2 linked regions of the Xenopus tropicalis genome follow. The protein of the gene in region 1 binds, or shares a complex with, the protein of each later gene. Links are inferred from orthologs where the notes say so. Each region holds a gene or a part of one and is shown in the gene's direction. Other genes may lie near its edges. The genes, in order: rad18 and ube2b.

Region 1 (3,822 bases):
AAATAAGGGATAGCATTAGTGCAAACTAGATACAGGGGACTCTGCCCAGTAACAGTAATAGAAAGAACTAGTAGGGGATTAAAGCCATAGGAGCGCTAAATCTTATGGGTCCCTGCACACCGAATCCCGGATTCGGTTCGGGATTCGGGCCAAATCCAGGCTTTTTTTGAAGGATTCAGTTTCGTCTGAATCCTAATTAGTAAGAATTAGCATATGCTAATTAGTATTTGGAAAGGGTTAAATGGTCATGGTAAAAAAAATTTGCCGCACGTGCAGCGATCCTAATTAGCATATGTTAATTCGAATTTGGTTCAGGATTCAGCAGAATCTGCCAGGGTGGGTTCGGCCAAACCCAAAAAAAGTAGGTTTGGTGCATCCCTACTGAAAGGAAAGGATATGATCTGTAGGGTATCTGTAATTGCAGGGTTTCCTGATATAATAACTGCAGCTCAGTTCTGCATATCACACTTGTATGTCCATCTCTGTCTTGCTGCTACTGCCTTGCATTCTGGGAAATTAACATCAGCAACAGAAATAACACACACTTATACATACATATACAGTAGTGTGGAAATGCTTTGATCTGCACAAATATTTTAATTAATAAAGCTGCGATTCCGTAGAGATTCCGTACAGATTCGGTATAATTAGTAAGTTCTGTGGAGGTCAGATGTTATGGCCGACTGAAATTACATTGATCAGTCTTATCTCATAATTTAATGTCATTAGAAAGAGGACAAATTTAGATCCGATGGAAACGCCAAGTATATGCAAGTGTATTAGTATTCAGTGCCATTTGATGTCTACAGTTAGAGATGAGAAACAGAATCTTCTGTTTTTATTAGAGGTAAGGCTGCTTAATGGTATTTTTTCCAAAACCTTGTTCTGGAAAACTTTGGATTGCATATTCTGCTTTCAAAAATGTTTTCCTGAAAATGGTACTTAACCTTGTACCTCACAACAATATCTGTGCGTGTATGGCTAGCTGAAGCAAAAAGATTAGCTAGAAGATTTTATATAGACATATGGCTTTCTGCACTACTACTCCTTTACTCAATATTATGTAAAGTCATGTGAAATTAGGTCTTCTGCCACATCTTATTTGTTTGTAACACACAACTGTTCCCTCTATTACTTGACCTTGTCCTTTGAGTACCTACCTGGGAGGCCTGGCTGTTTTTATTTGATATTTTGGACTGGCTGTAGTTATCCAGAGGATGGATATGGGTTTAGTCTTGAATCATTTCAGATGGTAAAACAATTCCATAAGACTTACACCACAAAACAGGCTTTGATGTTTCCTGTTCTAAAGCAAAACAGCATATGTTAAAGGAAAACTATACCCCCAGAATAAATACCTAATAAACAGTTTATATTTTGTTAAGTGACCTATTAAAGAATTTTGCTAAACTGGAATATATATATATATATCAGTAAATTTAGCTCTTTTACATCTTTTCCCTTGAGTCGCCATTTAGGGCTGTGGTAGACGGGGAGATTAGTTGCCGTGTGACAAATCTCCCCGAAATGCCATCCCACTGACTAGAATGTAAATCTCCGGTGGGATGGCATATGCGGTGCCGAAATCGCCGAAGTTTCCTCTCAAGGCAACTTCAGCGATTTCGGCAAATCGCCGCGCCGCGTATGCCATCCCACCGGTGAGTTACATTCTAGCCGGTGGGATGGCATTTCGGGGAGATTAGTTTCCTGGGACAAGGGAGATTTGTCGCGGGTGACTAATCTCCCCGTCTGTCAAGGCCCTTAGTGATGGGCTGTGTGCTCCCTCAGAGATCACATGACCAGAAATAATGCAGCTCTGACAGGAAGTAGTGTGGGAGCAAAAGGCAGAACTCTGCCCATTAATTGGCTGATGGGGCCTAGCATGTATGTGTGCCTTGGCTTGTTTGTGTGCACTGTGAATCCTATGATCCCAGGGGGCGGCCTTAAAGTGATACCGACACGAAAAAACAACTTTTTAAATTATGAATCTACATAAAAAGTTGCCTATAGGTCGTGTTGATCATTTTTTGCTGATAGGTTTGCTTTTGTAAGAAATTGTTACTTGAAATCCCAAAACCTGACTGTTTTGCCAGCCTGACTGTCCCTTCTCAGCCAGTCAGTTACAGCTTCTAATGCTAATGGCCACCTGCTGGACAAATATGGCCGCCCCCTCATAGAGGAACATGGGGGATCAGATAGTGAATGTAAAAGCTTGGACAAATACTTTTATGGCAAAATAATAAATAGCATGCAGAGACAATATTATGACAGATGTAAAAAAGGTTTCATTTCTGGTGTCAGTATCTCTTTAATTCTTAAAATGGCAGTTTTCTATTTAGTATTACCCAATAGCACATACTACTAAAAAAGTATATTTTTATGAAAATGGTTTATTTAGATGAAGCAGGTTTTATGCAATATATTTTTTTAGAGACCTACATTGTTTGGGGTATAGTTTTCCTTTAAAGATTTGTCATTGTTATAAACATGCACCCAAATATACTGCATGCTTTATTTCTTTTTCACAAATAGGTTTTCTTATTATTATTGTTCACTATTGCTGGAATTATCCAATTAGAACAGAGGAAATTGACAGATTTACTGTCAGCAAGAGTGTGTTGGTTTCAGTTTAAAAAAAATGTTAGAAATGTATAAAAAAAAAAAATAAAAAAAAAAAAATGTAATATACAGAGAGAGAAAGGGTTCCACACACAGGGACTTAGTGCCAAAAGACAAAAGTTCTATTAAAAAAAGTCCTGTCCCTGAGAAAGGGCACTGTCTTAGCTGGTATAAAGTAAAAGATACTGTTTTGTTTGAATTATATGATTATAATGGAGCCTATAGGAGATGGCCTTCCTTTAATTTAGAACTTTCTGGACAATGGATCCCATACTTTCTGGATAATGGATCCCATATATGTATGTGTGTGTGTGTATATATATATATATATATATATATAATATACACAAAATTAATGACTAATTGTGAACTGTATTAAATATCTACTACAATGTGGGCAGGTCTCCTCTGTTTTAAATAAAATTACAACTCTTTTTTTCTTGTATGTTTTAGGCAGCATCTTTCAAAGGTTGTCTTGGATTCACCTCCCATGTCGCCACAAAGTAACCCCTCCACCAGCAAGATTGCAAAAATGCAGGGATGCACTGGTAAACAAGTAAAGCAAGAGAACATAATAATGAATAGATTTCTGGTAAAAGGCAACTGTTCAACACCCCGAACTCATTCAAACACTTTACAAGATGAAACCTTTTTAAGCCAGGATTCTTCATATACCTCTGCTAATACCTCCAATATTGATTTAGCCGGAGAAGCAGGTTCTGTAATGACAGAGACGTTTGGTACATTTTCACCCTCCACATCTGCTCTAGCTGCACCCTCTTCTGCATCAAAAGTTAGAGGTAAGCCTCTAGTGTCCGAACTATTTGCCATATTTTTTATATTTTTATATATAATGCAACTATATTGGATTTTTATATATAATTAAACTGTATTGGATCTGGAATTAATCTGTTTTTACAAATAGTCTTAATTTTTTTTTTTTTTGCTTACAGTTGTTTATGTATTTAATTATATATTTTATATTTCTTTAGTGTAACATTTCTTTTCTGTCTGCACATAACGCGCTTATGCTGTGAGTTTTTGACACATTTCACCTGCTCTAATTGGCCGATTCCAACGTGAGCCAGTCATTTTCAGTGCACAACTGACACACAACATGGTTAGGTTTTTTAAAGCAGGAAATGACAGACGAGGAGATTAGTCCCTGCAACAAATCTCTTTTACTGGGGAGACTAATCTCAC
Region 2 (4,600 bases), on another chromosome or scaffold:
TTCTTCCTCCAAACACAGCGAGTTGAGTTAATGCCAAAGAGCTCTATTTTGGTCTCATCAGACCACAGCACCTTCTCCTAGTCACTCACAGAATCATTCAGGTGTTCATTGGCAAACTTCAGACGGGCCTGCACATGTGCCTTCTTGAGCAGGGGGACCTTGCGAGCCCTGCAGGATTTTAATCCATTGCGGTGTAATGTGTTTCCAATGGTTTTCTTGGTGACTGTGGTCCCTGCTAATTTGAGGTCATTAACTAACTCCTCCCGTGTAGTTCTAGGATGCTTTTTCACCTTTCTCAGAATCATTGACACCCCACGAGGCGAGATCTTGCATGGAGCCCCAGAGTGAGGTCGATTTATGGTCATTTTGTGCTCCTTCCATTTTCGAACAATCGCACCAACAGTTGTCACCTTCTCTCCCAGCTTCTTGCTAATGGTTTTGTAGCCCATTCCAGCCTTGTGCAGGTCTACAATTTTGTCTCTGACATCCTTGGACAGCTCTTTGGTCTTTCCCATGTTGGAGAGTTTGGAGTCTGCTTGATTGATTGATTCTGTGGACAGGTGTCTTTTATACAAGTGACTAGTTAAGACAGGTGTCCTTAATGAGGTTGACTAATTGAGTAGAAGTGTCTAACCACTCTGTGGGAGCCAGAACTCTTAATGGTTGGTAGGGGTTCAAAAACTTATTTCACTCAATGAAAATTCAAATGCAAATCAGTTGCTATCTTTTATTTAAAGTTATTTTTTCGATTTTCCTTTTGATGTGCTATCTGCCACTGTTAAAATAAACCTACCATTGAAATGATACTCTTCTGAGACTTTTCATTTCTTTGTCATTGGACAAACTTACAAAATCAGTGAGGGGTCAAATAATTATTTCCTCCTCTGTATATCAAGATCTAAGACAGTCCCTGCAAATTGTGATCAGTTGCTATTTCTGCAATAATCACCTATTGCAACTGATGAGATTACCAAGTGTTCAAATATGCAGATGGTTTGGCAGAACCCATTCTTTAAAAAGAACTACTATCTCTGAAATTTACATTATGGTCACTTTCCAGTTTTAACAGCCTGGGGTATTACCACAATCATTTCAGAAGACAAATATTTATTAAACTGATAATAAATGTGACTTATTATGGTGCATGTTATTCATACAACCCAGGCACATGTGCCATATCTTTCTCTGACTATATTTCTGCAATACAATTTCCAAGCAGTTTTCAGTTGCAGACTATATAAAACAGGAATGTTTAAACAGTGTGCCTACTGGTGGTGCTGAACCATACTTGTAGCATCTCCAGTAAGAGACTTTATTCGCTATAAAGAATACTCTACAGAACCATCAACTTTCACCGAAGCTACCCTCCCAGGAAAGCCGAGCTCAAACACCACGTGATATGATGCAACGCTTCTCCTCAGGAACTTTGAGTTGTCACTTATGGAAGCGACCATTCGTACGGATGACAGGGGTGATCGTCAGCAATAAATCACACTGCCCCACGTCCAAGAAAACGGCATGCCGCGTCACAATAAAAAACAAATGTTCCTATTAAACTCCGCAGTGAATCTCGGGGCAACATTTTGCAAAAATGGCAGCTTAGCACGGAATCTCCCTCTCCGGTGTAGTTGGTACGGTCCTATGAAACGTTCTGGTCCAGCCCCATGTTGGGAGCACTGAGCAACGTCATTGCGGCTTGTTTGTGCCAGGGTTGCTGAGTTAGCGGCGGCCGGGTTTGGGCTCCCTCCCTTCCCCCTCCGTACTGCTTCTATTCAGGGGCAATGTCCACCCCGGCCAGGAGGAGGCTGATGAGGGACTTCAAGAGGTGAGTAGGGCTGTTACAGGCTCCTTCCCTCATCGGCTTCACTGCGAGTTCCGTTCGACTCCGCCACCAAGTCACACGACTAGTGTATAAGGCAGGGGCAGGCAACCTTCGGCGCTTCTGCTCTTGTGGGACTACACCTCTCGCCTTCTGCCCGCTTGGCATGCTGGAAGTTGTAGTTTTGCAGCATATGGGGGGTTACCTGAGGCCTCCTGGGCGTTCAGTGGATCAGTACCCGTAAAGGGAAGATGTTAGGGACACTGAAAATCACAAAACCCCACTTCTTGCTGGCTATAAGCACTAGGCCAGTTCATCTCCTTAAATATCTATAGAGAACAGTATGGAAGATCTCTTTGCAGCATAGAGCAGTTGGCCAATGAGTTATAGTAGACCCCACAATTATATTTCACTTTTGCTAGGTTTTATTTTTTATCTGTAAAGTTTATTTTTGTATTTTTTATGGCTGTTATAGTGGGCAGTGTGTGCTAGTGCAGCCGGCCCCTCTATCCCCATGCTGCCATGTGCTTATCTGTATTGTTTTGTAAGATATATCCTCACCCACATCCAAAAATACATACAGGGATGGGACCTGTTAATCGCAAAGCTCAGGAGCTGGAGTTTTCAGAATAAGGGATCTTTCCGTAGTTTAGATCTCCATATCCTAAGTCTACTAGAAAATCATTTAACCATTAAATAAACCCAATAGCATTATTTTGCCTCCAATAAGGATTAATTATACCTTAGGCTCAAGTACAAGGTACTGTTTGGCCACCTTTTACACCCTCAGCCAAAGATATGAACTGCCAGCAATGTGGTTGAAAGGTTTTCTGGCAGTTAGTGAAATGCTGGTCATCATTAGCTTTAGCCTTATCTGCCCCATTTCTGCTGCTGGTACAGTCCTGCAGTTGCCTTCCAGCTCTTTAAAAGGCTTTACACATAAACACATTTTCCCAGAATTCCAATTTTGCTTTATCTTGCATGCTTGGCCGCACATAAAAATCTATTTGGTCTGCATTGTGAATACTGAATCAGCTTTTTTGACCAATACATTTACATTGGATTATTGATCAACACTGTATGTATATTTATATAGAACTACTTAATGTACAGAGTGCTGTTCAATACTGGGCAAATTTGCACCTGGGCAAATTTGCACCTGGGCAGAAACCTATAGCAACCAGCCAGTGATTTGTTTTTATTCACCAGGTTGAAAAAAAAAAAGAGAGAAAATGTTGATTAGTTGCTGTTGGTTACTGCACATGTACAGAATTGCCTGGTGTTTATAAATGGGCCCCACTGATCAGTTATTTATTTTTTGCATTATGTTTTTTTATGTTTTTAATTACTTAATTGGATTTTTAGTCCTGCATTGTTGTCCACAGCTTTGTTTTTGGCAGTTGTGCAATGTGATTAGTAGATAAGGTATTCTGAACATTGACTACACTTCACAATCACTTGTTTTATTGGTTTTGGTGATTTGATGACATATTGATGTCTGCTAGAAATACAAAAGCAAAAAGTATCCAGTCCATCCATTTATTGTAACGTACATTATTGCACAGATAAATATAATCTTTAGCTGGGCAAACATCTTTGTATTGTTAACATTGTTTTTTTTAGGTCAGTTTATTGCATCATAAAGCAAGAATGTCAGGGAACCTCATTCCACTTGGGTCCTTAACGCTCAGCACTTAATCTTGAGTATCACTTTGTGCTTTGTATTTATTCGTTTTTATTTTTGGATTAACTCCTATTAGTGTATTGTTCTCCTGTTAGTGATGCATACACAAGTAGCACCTTATTAATAAAATATACAGACAGCATCCATACCGGTTTTGTAGCAGCCACACAGTGAAGCTCTTAAAGTCTTATGTCATTTCAGAACTCGGCTTCTGTTTTGGCTTCCCTTCAATTTTGTTTAAGCGGAAGGGTTTTTTTTTTCTATTTGTATTCCTCCTACTATAGGTTTTGGTGATTAAAAATGCCCTGGTGAGAACTGTCCCAGATGTGACACCCACCCAGTTGACTTCTTCCATATAACATGTGTTTGCCCCCTCATCCAGCAAATCTGCTCAAATGTAATACAATAAATGCAAAACAAACCTGGAATTCCGATTCTTACCTAGAGCCACAACTTTACTACTGAAGCAGATAGAAGAAATGGCGCTAGAAGTTAGGCGCTATATATATATATATATATATATATATATATATATAAAGCAAGACAGTGAGCTGCACACACCAGGACTTGGCAAAAAAAATGATAAGTTTATTTAAGCAAAGAAAGGATTTCTTTGCTTAAATTAACTTATCATTTTTTTGCCAAGACAGGTATCGGACCCCTTATCCGGAAACCCGTTATCCAGAAAGCTCCAAATTACGGAAAGCCCGTCTCCCATAGACTCCATTTTAATCAAATAATTCAGAATTTTAAAACTAATTTCCTTTTTCTCTGTAATAATAAAACAGTACCTTGTAATTTATCCCCACTAAGATATAATCAATCCTTATTAGATGCAAAACAATCCTATTGGGTTTAATTAATGTTTTATTGATTTTTTAGCAGACTTAAGGTATGGAGATCCAAATTACGGAAAGACCCCTTATCCGGAATACCCTTGGTCCCGAGCATTCTGGATAACAGGTCCTATACCTGTGTGTGTGTGTGTGTATATATACCCACTTGATAAGAAAACTTGATTTTTCAGAATGTCTATTGTTGTAAATGGCATAGTGTGCACCAAAATGAGACTCATAGCATTGCATACAATGTAACTC

Evidence for each region.
Region 2: the proteins of rad18 (region 1) and ube2b are in contact, whole or in part, in a crystal structure (PDB 2YBF), measured with the Homo sapiens proteins. The link is inferred for Xenopus tropicalis from reciprocal best matches to the Homo sapiens genes RAD18 and UBE2B. Residues at the interface, in NP_064550.3 of Homo sapiens: Tyr342, Arg343, Lys344, Lys345, His346, Lys347, Glu349, Phe350, Leu353, Val354, Gln356, Ala357, Arg358, Lys359, Gly360, Tyr361; in NP_003328.1 of Homo sapiens: Pro20, Val22, Gly23, Val24, Ser25, Gly26, Ala27, Ser29, Glu30, Gln35, Asn37, Ala38, Val39, Phe41, Gly42, Pro43, Glu44, Glu49, Asp50, Lys54, Leu55, Val56, Leu73, Ser74, Asp151, Ser152.

What each region holds. Positions count from the first base shown.
Region 1 is NC_030680.2:131,520,504-131,524,325, reverse strand, and holds part of rad18 (E3 ubiquitin-protein ligase RAD18), read left to right. Parts: intron 1-3,072; coding exon 3,073-3,419; intron 3,420-3,822. UniProt on the Homo sapiens protein: E3 ubiquitin-protein ligase involved in postreplication repair of UV-damaged DNA. Postreplication repair functions in gap-filling of a daughter strand on replication of damaged DNA.
Region 2 is NC_030679.2:26,523,345-26,527,944, reverse strand, and holds the start of ube2b (ubiquitin-conjugating enzyme E2 B), read left to right. Parts: upstream 1-1,678; 5' UTR 1,679-1,781; coding exon 1,782-1,825; intron 1,826-4,600. UniProt on the Homo sapiens protein: E2 ubiquitin-conjugating enzyme that accepts ubiquitin from the ubiquitin-activating enzyme E1 and transfers it to a E3 ubiquitin-protein ligase. In vitro catalyzes 'Lys-11'-, as well as 'Lys-48'- and 'Lys-63'-linked polyubiquitination.